Linked DNA regions of Danio rerio. The protein of the gene in region 2 interacts with the protein of the main gene of each other region in a biochemical or structural test. Links are inferred from orthologs where the notes say so. Each region holds a gene or a part of one and is shown on either strand. Other genes may lie near its edges. The genes, in order: hip1rb, actb2 and hnrnpua.

What was found.
Region 1: the proteins of actb2 (region 2) and hip1rb form a complex in vitro, tested with the Homo sapiens proteins (2 studies listed by BioGRID). The link is inferred for Danio rerio from reciprocal best matches to the Homo sapiens genes ACTB and HIP1R.
Region 3: the proteins of actb2 (region 2) and hnrnpua form a complex in vitro, tested with the Homo sapiens proteins (2 studies listed by BioGRID). The link is inferred for Danio rerio from reciprocal best matches to the Homo sapiens genes ACTB and HNRNPU.

What each region holds. Positions count from the first base shown.
Region 1 is NC_133180.1:72,284,219-72,287,872, forward strand, and holds part of hip1rb (huntingtin interacting protein 1 related b), read right to left. Parts: intron 3,476-3,654; coding exon 3,445-3,475; intron 3,210-3,444; coding exon 3,147-3,209; intron 1,476-3,146; coding exon 1,375-1,475; intron 517-1,374; coding exon 411-516; intron 1-410. UniProt on the Homo sapiens protein: Component of clathrin-coated pits and vesicles, that may link the endocytic machinery to the actin cytoskeleton. Binds 3-phosphoinositides (via ENTH domain).
Region 2 is NC_133178.1:39,482,465-39,486,711, forward strand, and holds the start of actb2 (actin, cytoplasmic 2), read right to left. Parts: upstream 2,825-4,247; 5' UTR 2,812-2,824; intron 1,587-2,811; 5' UTR 1,497-1,586; intron 136-1,496; 5' UTR 129-135; coding exon 6-128; intron 1-5. UniProt on the Homo sapiens protein: Actin is a highly conserved protein that polymerizes to produce filaments that form cross-linked networks in the cytoplasm of cells.
Region 3 is NC_133192.1:12,690,141-12,694,233, forward strand, and holds the start of hnrnpua (heterogeneous nuclear ribonucleoprotein U), read right to left. Parts: upstream 2,814-4,093; 5' UTR 2,690-2,813; coding exon 2,275-2,689; intron 340-2,274; coding exon 225-339; intron 1-224. UniProt on the Homo sapiens protein: DNA- and RNA-binding protein involved in several cellular processes such as nuclear chromatin organization, telomere-length regulation, transcription, mRNA alternative splicing and stability, Xist-mediated transcriptional silencing and mitotic cell progression.

The DNA.
Region 1 (3,654 bases), on a different chromosome or scaffold from region 2:
CAATAACTCACACACCTCTTACCCATAACAGATCTAAACTGAAAAAACATTGAATATTTTTTGTCTACTATGGATGTCAGTGGCTGCTTTTTCCAACATTCTTCAGAATATCTTCTTTTACATTTACATTTAGTCATTTAGCAGACACTTTTATCCAAAGCGGCTTACAAATGAGGACAAGGAAGCAATTTACACAACTATAAAAGCAACAATGAATAAGTGCTATAGGCAAGTTTCAGGTCTGTAAAGTCTTTTTTATCAACAGAAAAAAACGTATAATTTGTTCTGAACCAATTGAAGGTAAGGAGGAAATGTTCAGTTCTAGGTGAACTGGCAACTTTGTTTTTGCCTGATTGTTTCTCTGATTCATTGCTCTAAAAGACATACGATAAATGATATAAAAGTGAAACCTTGGAGGCTGCAACAAGCTGTGCAGTACTAGCAGCGATCTCGTGAGAGCAGACGATCAACTCTTCATATTTCCCAGTGTGCAACACCACTTTATCAGCAGAATCACTGATGGAAAGTGAAAGCAAAGTTGTGTTAGCAAAACAAAGAGCTAACCATAAAATTACACAGTCAAATCTTTATAATCAAAGAATCTGAATGTTAAAATGAATGTTCAGAGGAATGCCAAACATCAATACAAACATCAGAAAACTACTACAGAAATAAATAAATATAAATAAGCACACTGCAAAAACTGCTTTACTTACTTAGATTTTTTGTCTTGTTTCTAGTTCAAATATCGCAAAACTCATGAATCAAAAAGGATTTTCTAGAAAAGCTACAAATATTAATCCAGAAAAACAAACCAAAAGCGCTCAGGAGTAACTCAAATATTTGGTCGGTGCTCTTTGGGTAAAGGATTCATCAATACAACAACAGGAATCAGTCCACGGCACTCAAAAAATGTGGAAAATTTAAAAAGCCTTTATTTACATGGCTAAATCCTAAAAAACCTACGCGTTTCGGCAAGAATCTGCCTTCATCCTGTTACCCTACGTTAAAAAAACGTAGGTTTTTTAGGATTTAGCCATGTGAATAAAGGCTTTTTAATTTTTCCTAATTTTTCAAGCTAAAATTATTGTCTTGTTTTCAGAAATAATGAGTCAAAATCAAGTGAGTTTTTACTTAAAACAAGCAAAACAATCTGCCAATGGGGTAAGAAAAAAATGATTGTTTTGACTTTGATGATTTGTTCTTACCCCTGTGGCAGATTTTCAACACACGTATTAACACAAAACACAGAAACAGTTAATTAACAGATATTTTACATCTCTCCAGATACAGATCATTGCCTGATAACATTACAAACAAGGCATTGCAAAAGTATAGGTTTTAATGAGCTCTTGAACATGCATAAATACATACACCATCTGCGTCGCGCCCCATCCCACAGCTTTGGAGGCAGAAATAAGACCCTCTGTCCAGCGAGAATTGCGCGCATAAAACTCTCTGACTGAAGCTGCACCCTACAAACAAAAAACAACAACAGATCATGTGGTAATATCACAGCAAACACAATCACATATAGGGCAATATTTTTCAATAGAAATAGGCTGGGTATATACTAGTGATGTAACTGATCACAAATTTCACGGTTCAGACCACATTACGGTTTTTGAGTCATGGATCAAACCATTTTTTTGGATTGGCAAAAAGGAGAGAAGACAAATGTTATTTGCTTCCCATTTATTACCAAAAACAATAATGTTTAAAAAAAAAAAACATATCTTAGAGTCTGCACTTTTAATAAAAATATAATCAAGAAATAACCAGCTGGTTAAAAAAAAGAAATGATTCAATACTGTGATGATGCTAAATCAATTTAACATTATAATCATGTACGACAACACATCATAATTATTTTCAATTAATAATCCAAAAACGTCATGTTCATTACTAGATATATACATTTTGAAGAATTATTCAGTGACACGTTTTTGATGCCACCTATTGGTCAAACAATGTAATTGCAACAATTTTCATTTTGAGCGTGAAGTTGCATTAAACATAGATTCTAATCTTTATCATATACATCAGTGTTTATATCTGAACTATAAACGAATCTCCCAGATCTTCAGTGTTATTTGATAGTATGTAATTAGAAATAATACTGGCTGGAAAAACTAAAGGCTGAATCTCTTTCACAGTCAACGGCAGATTTGAATGGAGCGCATCGAAGAATGAATAAACATATGCAAATCATCCTTTATAATTTAGGTCATAATTTAGGTTTGTGCGTGGGTGTTTGAATAGAGATCCCGAACTTTCAAAGATGAATTGTGCAGCTTTACACTCAATGCATTAATGCAGACTAAACCAGTGACAGAAAACACCTTTAATAACTTAAGAAAGCGTTTAGGTGCCACCACAACTTCTTACCTCAAAATTTTATTTTACAGGAAAGAAAAAAATGCTTTCATACTGTCGATCTCTCTGCGATCATTACAAAATGTATGATTAATCTAAAAGTAAATGTAATAAAAAAGTAATGTTTTGGACTGTCGGAATTTCATTGTATTGATGTAGACATAAATAAGTGAATGATGATAATTGATATGTGTTTTTTAACTGTTAAATAATGTTCTTGAAGGTGAAGCTAAACATTTCTTGTTTGGTTAATTATGGTATATTGAAATGAAAATGAGATTAAGTGGTAAAATAAAAACTGTATGAAGCCATTATTGAATGAGTGCAAACCACGACCTTCTGAATAATCTAAAGGTAAAGAAGAAGTTATTAATCTGCAGGACACGTGCGCTCTGAACCGTGGGTTGTGATCTAAATCAACTGTGATCTGTTACACCACTAGTACATACTAAAAGGTTGTTTATCTTATGGGATTTTCAAAATGTTAGAAGTCACAAACAGGAGGACAAAAAAATGCTAGATTTCACTGTTTTGCTCGTATAGTGCGTGGCCTGCCACAATGTGACAAAGAAGACTTGAGAACAGAAATGGCGAACGATGAAGAAGAAACAATGACAGTCTTTGCAATTATTTTGATAGCTCAAATCCAGCCAATTTCTCCTGTGGTGTTTCCCCAGCATTATATAACAGATTGAAACTTAAAAGTACTAATAATCAATAGAAAATCAATAATCAATGAATCAACAATAATTTAAAGAAGAACACTTTACCCTTCCACCTTCCACAATCTCCTTCTGCAGGTCTGTGGATGCCAACACCAGAAGACGAATGGCCTGCAGGACATCAACATTAAGACAATTACATCATTGATAAACAGTGATGCTTAATTTAGCAGTGCCCTTGTGTTGTATGCAATTATTATTACAGTAAAGCATTCATAATTACAAGCAAGCAACTAGCTCAAATGCCAGCACTAACTGACTCTAATGCCTTAGTAAGTGCATGATGTACTGTAGAAACTCAAATGTTGATTTTTGGCATCGATGATTCAGTGTGTGCTAATCTCACCTGCATCAGGTCAGTGCAGCTGTTCAGGATCCTTCAAGACAAATATTAAAAGACAAAATGCATTTTTATAGGCCCATGCAAAAACTCTTATATGTTAATAACTTATATATATATATATAACACATAGTAACATTAATAATTAATTACTCATTTATTATATTCAGATATTAAAAGAGTGACATTTGCATTTAACAATTAAAAAATTAACAA
Region 2 (4,247 bases):
CTCACCTGATGTCTGGGGCGACCCACGATGGATGGGAAGACAGCACGGGGAGCATCATCTCCAGCGAATCCGGCTTTGCACATACCGGATCCGTTGTCAACAACCAGTGCGGCAATTTCATCATCCATGGCTGAACTGTAAAAGAAAGGGAAACTGTTAGAATTGCACTGCTGCCAGGGAGAGGCGTTTCAGCAAGCATGTGACCATCTGGAGTCAACTTCCTGTTTTGCTCTGCATTCTACAGTCTGACCGCTGGTGGGCGCTAGTGACAGCGCGCGCCTCAGATATGCCAGACAAAGGAAGTCCCTCTGCATTCTCTCATTATTACCATAAAAGGCAATGGTTTGAGCCGCTTTGCGGCTGCCGGCGGTGTGGCACTCAGCCAGAGTCGTAGGGCTCAGTAAAAAGGAACAGATTTCGACATTCATCACACCAGGACCACTCCCTAAATTTTACACAAATGAAGTTTCACATCCTCTTCCACCCTCGCCTGCGATCAATTACACAACCGCATTTCAACGGGTGTCTGCCGCCGGGTGTTACTGCGTCACAGATCTGCAGTCAGTCCACGGACTCCTCGTGAGCGGAGACTTCACACTAAAGCATTTCTGGACGGTCACTCTCAGTCGGTTCAGTTCATAGTCTAGCCTCAAAAATCACCGAGATCCTGAAAAACTGATGGGCTCTGCTTCGACAGTCACAGCGGCTGAAGTGCAGCCAGAGAACTCCGCAGCCGTTATTAAAGTGGACCACACCTCTAAAATTCAAATCTTTCATAGCGGATACAACACTTCACTAACGTTAACGTTAATCTTCAGCTTCATTAAAGACAGAGGGGGCTGCAGGCTACATTTAAATAGAACACATAACAAAAAGAAAATTAACCAAGTTAAAACTAAATGCCAATACCCGTTACTAATAACAAGATCTTCGATCTTATAAAGCACGAATGAGCCGATGTTAGATTGATGGGGTTTACGTTACATCAGATGAGAGCTGGTTAGCCGGCTAGCTAAAGTAGGTCACACCCTGCTGCAGCACTGCCTGCACAAAGAACTTCCCATGCCGGCTATCCATCAAGTGTGCAACATGCTCACCAGCACCCTCAAAACTGTAGTTAAAAATCACATTTATGGCTGTTAAAGAGAGATTAGCCAGAACACAACTTTATATTAAGACTTAACACCCATTTCACACCGGCCTATTCAATGTTCAATGTCGTGCCTACGACTGGTCACGTTAAATTACCGACATTCTCACCTGCCACATCCACTAACGCTACAAAAAAGTTAAGATACAGCCAATATTTATTAAATGTAACATAGATTATCAAAAGAACCACCACTTATAAATCAAACCTAGTAGATAACTACAAAGAGACCGTTATGAACTGTCTAAAGACTTCATCAAATCATATTTATCCATTTACACATTTTACTTAACATTAATAGATAGAAACTATAATTAAACGCTTAAAAACTGTAAAACCAACTCACCTTGGGTTTGGGGGGTTGTCGACTTAAGAGAATGGGTTACAAGCAGATGATATTCCGCACTAGCTGCGTGTGGAGGAGCTCAAAGTGAGGCTGAAAAGCTGGGCGCGCTCTTTTATATGACGGCACATACCCGGCTCTAGCCATAAAAGGTAAACTTTCGGAGCTCTGTGCTCTGATTGGTCCAGCGTCACACACCCGGCTGTCGCGTGCACATTGCTACACTTGCTTCTTGCAACTTGAGAGTGAAAGAAGGGGAAGCTTAACTGGTTAAAGAACAAGGCCATGGCGATTTCCTATAAAACTGGAATTTTTATTTGCAAATTTTAACACAGAATTTTTCGTATTTTTCTGCGACAACGCCAAGACTCAATTAAACTTTTCAAAAAGTCTGTGCAGAGTTACAAGTGGCAGAATGCGTCATAATGATGGATGCCTCCATGATCCTGTGTTGTGTTTTCAATCTAACACAACAGCAGCTCTGTAGGTCATTTACCTCTTGTGTTCACGAAATACCGTAATACAAACAATGGGGGATCTAATGAGTACTTTTCCATGTATAAAATGGACATTTTTTTTATCCAAATTAGGATGACACTACTTGTAGTATGTTGTATGAGCAACTAGCTGGTCTTAGCTCAGTAGTAATGCACTTTAAGAAAGTGCTTTAATAACTTTGAATGAATGGGACCTGCATTCCATGCCACATTGCTTCACTATTTTTGTGTGTACAAGTTACACAATGATGTATAAAGTGAGTGATAGCAGTTACATTTTTGCAAGTGGGCCTACCTCAGGTTTAATGTTCATTAGAAATGTTATATGTCAAGTCTTGATCTTAAATAGTTAAATTTTCTGTTCATAATTTCATGTCGTGTCTATGCAGACATAACATTTCTTTTTAAAGAGGTTTATAAGGATAAATCCTAAGAACATAATTCTCATTAAAAGTAGAAAAAAAAAACACTGAAAGTGTTGGTGATCAGCTACAATAAATAATATTTTGCACACATTTCAGATATTGCCACACTGAATAACAGATAAAGCTGTGCTTGAGCAGCAGTGATCATGATAAACTACATGTGACTTTTTACTGTGTAACTTGGGAGTAATGCACATGGCCTTCAGTGGGAGTTATAAACAAAAACAGCTGATTGTGTTAAAAGTGCTTGCTGATACCAAGGACAATGAGGTGATGTGACTTTTATTTTGTTTTTGGCAAATTCCAAGTATTTTGACAAGACTTTTTACAATTCTGAGCATTTTACCTCTAAAATATGGAAGTTTCTCAGAGTAAACGTTGAGTATAGGTAATGACTAGGCCCACACAGAATCTGTGCGCACAGAAATCTGCAGATTTCCCCAGATCTTTAGCCCATCATTGAGTTTATTTATTGACTTGTGTATTTGGATTTGCTCTTTAGTGTTTGGACTCTCAGCAGTAAAAATTAACTCACACTGAACTAAACTGAACTGAACTTAAACTCTTAAAAAATGGACTGACACAGTTTCAATTTACTATACTAATCCTCTAAGTTAAGCTGCTTTGACACAATCTACATTGTAAAAGCACTCTAGAAATAAAGACAAAGGTGTAAATATATGTTTATTCAGTTTTTAAATACATTTCCGTAATATTATTGACTAATATGAAAGTGTTCATTTGATTACAATATGGTCTGAAAGTAATGTTTTCTGTCTTTTAGAAGATATATTATGTGAGAGACTTGCTTTGTCGACCAAATAATTGGATCTAGGTGGACTTGCATTGTATATATTTATTAAAAGTTAAAAAGGTATTATTTTTTTTTATTTCATATAGTAAGTTTTTAGTTACGATACTCCCGAAAAAATCTCGCATAAATCACAGATTGTTTACAAAATTCTCTGCAGAAAAAGCAAAAAATGTCAGCAGATTCTGTCTGGCCCTAGCTATGACCCAACAGAGCAAACAGAATAAATACAACGAAATTTAATATACAGCATCAGATATAAAAGTGAATGTTTTATAGCTGTTTGTGTATAGAAAAAATGAGAAAAAACAGACATAAACAGCATCATAGTATGAATGTCTAAAAACTTGTTATCTGCAAACTGGATACTCATCAATAAGGTCTCCTCCTTCCATCCCCCAACATCTTTTCAAAGAATGCCAAGCATCCATCCACACCCCCCTTTATAAACACACAGGTTTTTATAAGATAAGCAAATATTTAGCACCAATCTGTGGTTAATGTGATGTAACACACAACAAACAATGCATTCAGCATATCCAGTCAATTCTATTTTTTAACCAACCATGCTTCTCTTTGTAACTTTTGTAGATTGCACAGGGGATCTTGTTACAGCAGATGTGCTTTTGTGAGTCCATAGTTCCCCCGAGGACCACCACCCTTCCCTGATAGCAGCCCACTACAGCCTTCCCATTCATCTCTAAATAAGGTACTGTCCTAATGAACCTCAGCTTTGCCCCATGACATAAGATTTCCAGAGCAATAAAGTGTTGTTGACTGTCAGTGTGATAATGTCATTGTCCTTTAGAATGCCAAAGTCTCTTATCTCAATTCTGATACCAAAGCTCTCCCAGTACACCATTCATGCATAATGATAAGAAACATATTTATGAAGTTGTTCTCAAAGGAACACTTTTTGGGCGTGTCATGCTGCATTTCATAGTTTGTTGTTTGGCACCCACATAAATAAAACAAGTGTGTTTTTGATAATAATAATAATAAGGGATGCACCGATACCAGT
Region 3 (4,093 bases), on a different chromosome or scaffold from region 2:
TCCACCAAAACACATTGATTTCATTCTTTAACAGCCCGAGCACTGAGGTGAAAGAGATGCCCTTAATATTATTATAAGCTCAAAATTATTTCAAATGGTCAGTAAAAATGTGTGTTTCTTTGCACTGATGTCAGATCTGGCTCTTTACTGCCAGAACTGCTCATAAATCTTTCAGGTGCAGCGGAACCTCAGGAGTACCAGCAGCCCGACTGCACAATTCTTACCGGCTGTATTTTCTTTCTTCAATAAATTCAAAGTAGGCCCTTCCATGTTCATCTCGGCGTCTCTTTACACCCTTCTTATTCTTCTGTTCATCTTTCTTGTCTTTGTCCGCATCCCCTTTGGAAAACAAACAATAAAGCGTAAGGAAGAGTACCTCCCTGCTGGACCAGGCATGATGTAACATGATGGTCCACAGAATTACTGGAGGATTTATACTCTTGTTTAGGGTATGCATGAATTGCAATGAGCAGTGCTTTAAAAGAAAATTTATGCTCAAGGAGCGACGTCAGACAGTGCGGGTATTGTACACTGCGGGATTGTATGAGTACAGACAGAAGGTTGATGCCAAGACAACTGCAAACTGTGCAATTTTGAGCTGAGTAACACACATTTACATATTCAAATTGCATGCATCTTGAAGAACTGCAAATGTTGTGACATAAAAATTAGCGATGCACCGATACTGAAACCAGTATCGGGTCAATGCTTTGTTAAAATACTTGTACTCGTATCGCAAATGAAATGACGATACCACTCAACAGTATGTCACTACGTTGATTTGTTGTCCTACATGACTTTAATGTCTTAAGACAATAATTAAAAGAGTGGCGAGACTTGACAAGGCCATATGATGCTTTAAAATGCTTTTCTAATGTTCATGACTATAGTATACAAATGAATGAGGTGTCACAGAGCACTGACTGAATCAGATGGCCAATCAGAGATATTGGCTATCCAGAGAAAGGGGCTTGGTTGAAACCAAAACTCAATCAGAGCTGCAGCAATGCAGAGAAAGTGGAAAATAATATACATTTTTTTGAAAATTAAAGCATTATTTTAAATTAAATAATAAATTAAAATAGCATCATAAGGCCTGTTTGATGGTCACAGATGTAGGCTAAAGCCACTAACCCCCCTTTAGCACAAAGGGGGTAGAAGCATCTGCCAAATGACAACAAAGAATACCATGAGGTGCTCCTCAATACTGTAGGGCATCTATGGACCTGAAAAAGTTTAACTTCCACTAAAAACATGTAGTCAATAAACATGAAATATATAGTGTTTGAGTTTTTAGCCCCTTTAAGCAACATATTTTCCAATAGTCTACAGAACAAACCATCATTATACAATAACTTGCCTAATAACCCTTACCTGCCTAGTTAATAATTAATCTAGTTAAGCCTTTGAATATCATTTTAAGCTGAATACTAGTATCTTGAAAATTCTTAAGTAAAATATTATTTACTGTCATCATGACAATAATAAAATAAATCAGTTATTACAAATGAGTTATTAAAACTATTATGGTTAGAAATGTTTTGAAAAAATCTGCTTCTTTTCCGTTAAAAAGAAATTGGGGAAAAAATAAACAGGGGAGCTAATAATTATGACTTCAACTGTGTACTGGTGCAAAGACATTATAAGGGATCAATTAAATAAAATGAATAAATCAAAATGTACATTTTTAATAAAAAAAAATAACAATGGATTTTTTTCATTATTTCTTGCATTTAATTTGCAGATATTTCTCATACTTTAATTAGGTTAATGAAATATGTATTACATTAAGGTTTGACATATGTAGCACAATGTAAAGAAGATGTTGCATTCACCATAAAAATATATATATTGAAAAACTATTGGATAATCAATAAAATTATAAAACACTAAATAAAGGAAATAGGAATAAGAAAATAATTAAATTACGTAAAAATATAAGTTTATATTTTATTAGAAATAAATATTTGAAATAAAAAGAAATACATTGTATTATATTATGCATGTTATTATAATTAATATAATTATGTATAACATTTAGCTATATTAGATTAGAATAAAATAAAATACTTACATACTTAGCAAAGTAAAGCCTATTGCTGTAAATCATATAACCTGAAACTGTAGCAGTAACTCAAGGAGAAACAAATGGGACAGCAGCAATGAGCCCATAACAAACCCCAGTATACGCGTTCTGCTGACAGTATGAATTATTTTAGCCCAATTATACACAAAGTAACTATGAATTACTCGATCTTCATCGTATAATCTCACCCTTGTCAAGAGCCACATCATCCTCATCGAATTTCTCCATCTCTTCATCTTCATCATCATCACCATCATCATCTTTAAGAAGAGCGTCTTCATCCGATTTATCCATCTCTACCCCGGCGTCCTCCTCTTCCTCCTCCATAATATCATCATGCTCGGCCTCCGCGTTTCCTCCATCCTCTTCTTCCTCCTCCATGCTCTCTCCCACCGGGTCCTCCTCCAGGTCTTTGCCGGCGGGGTCTCCTCCGTCCTCGTACCGACGCTCGGAGCCGTTAGTACCAGAGAGCGCCTCCTCGTCTAGTGCGGCCTGCAGGCGCGACATAAGATCCGCCTTCAGCCCTTTATCAGACAGACTCCTTTTCTTTAGCTCGTCCTTCAGCTCGTTCACTTTCAGCTTCTTCACGTTTATAGCGCTCATTGTGACCGTCGTCTTCAGACTTGTGTATTTGAGCAATTATGAACGGAAAATATGAACGGAAAGGGCAGGTTGTTGTGAGCGGACTGTCCGTTAACGCGCGGTGCGGTCACTGTAGGCAGCAGTCGAAGCGGAACAAGGCCAGCTCAGCTTTATATAATCTACCGTAAAGCACGTTATAGCCGAGCGCGTATGAGACTACCGTAAATATCGATATTGATTTAAGATAATAGACGTAGTTTTACAATTTTTAGAAATTGTATTGTCTGTGTGGCTTTTTTGTTTAAAACTTAAGGCATTTTTTGTTCTGTTTTTAAACATGGAATTTAATTAGATATTTTACAGTCCTTTAGATAGGGTGGCTCTTTTTTCTGAAAAAGTGGACCTTTTCTGCAGTTATTCACCTCATTTTCTATTCAATTATGAGGTTTAAATAATGCATTGTAGTGACATTTTAATTACTAATCTTCGCCGAATCTTTTTGACGTACTAAAAATATTTTCTAGAGTGCTTATACTGCTTTATTACAAAGAATTTGCATTTAAACTTTAATTTACTACAGTTATATAAATAATGCTATGAGTTTTATTCAAATAAAAAATTAATAAAGAAAAATAAAAACATACTTATTTTTAAATACAAATTTTTTATCATCCATCATTTTAAAAATATATGGTCAAACTTGTTTTAAACTAAAAAGTGTAGCAGAAAAAAAAAACTCACCATCTCATTTCACTTTCCTCAGAAAGCCAGAATTTGGCCACTTGATGAGCAGATGAACATGATGTATATAAATTAATTTCTGCCTCTCCTGATGCCTCTATTTTGATTTCCCATTTTATAGCCGTTTGTAATAATCAGTTTGACATATCTACTTTGTATTTGAAAGATTCTTGAAAGATTTACAGATTATAATTACCAATGGGGACTGGAAAAAGTCTATCAAGGTCATAATAAATACATAAGAGTGTGAAGATGCAAAAACCTCTAAATGCCTTTTGAAACATTTCCCTAAAAGGAGTATTTTTTATGTGTATTCATATCACTTAAATGGCAAAGATTAAGTCCTTTTCCTGGGCTTTAAAGTAAAATATCTCAACATAAACAAAGGATGCTGAGAAAAAAGTAAATTTTCTATGGAAATTTCAGATGTTTTTTGCATCTAAACTCTTGACATGTTCTATTAACTCAAGACACCTAATCCAATATAAAAGTGTGCATTGGCTTCATTATTCTATAGGGTTAAGCTTAATAAATTCTAGTCCTCTATCTCCTGTAAATGTAATAAATGTGAAGCTGAAGGCTTCATAGGACATATTTTTTGGTCATGGCCAAAACCTTTTGAGATTTGGAGCAAAATGTTCAGATTCTACTCTGGGGCTTGTTCTTATGACCTTGCCCCTGATC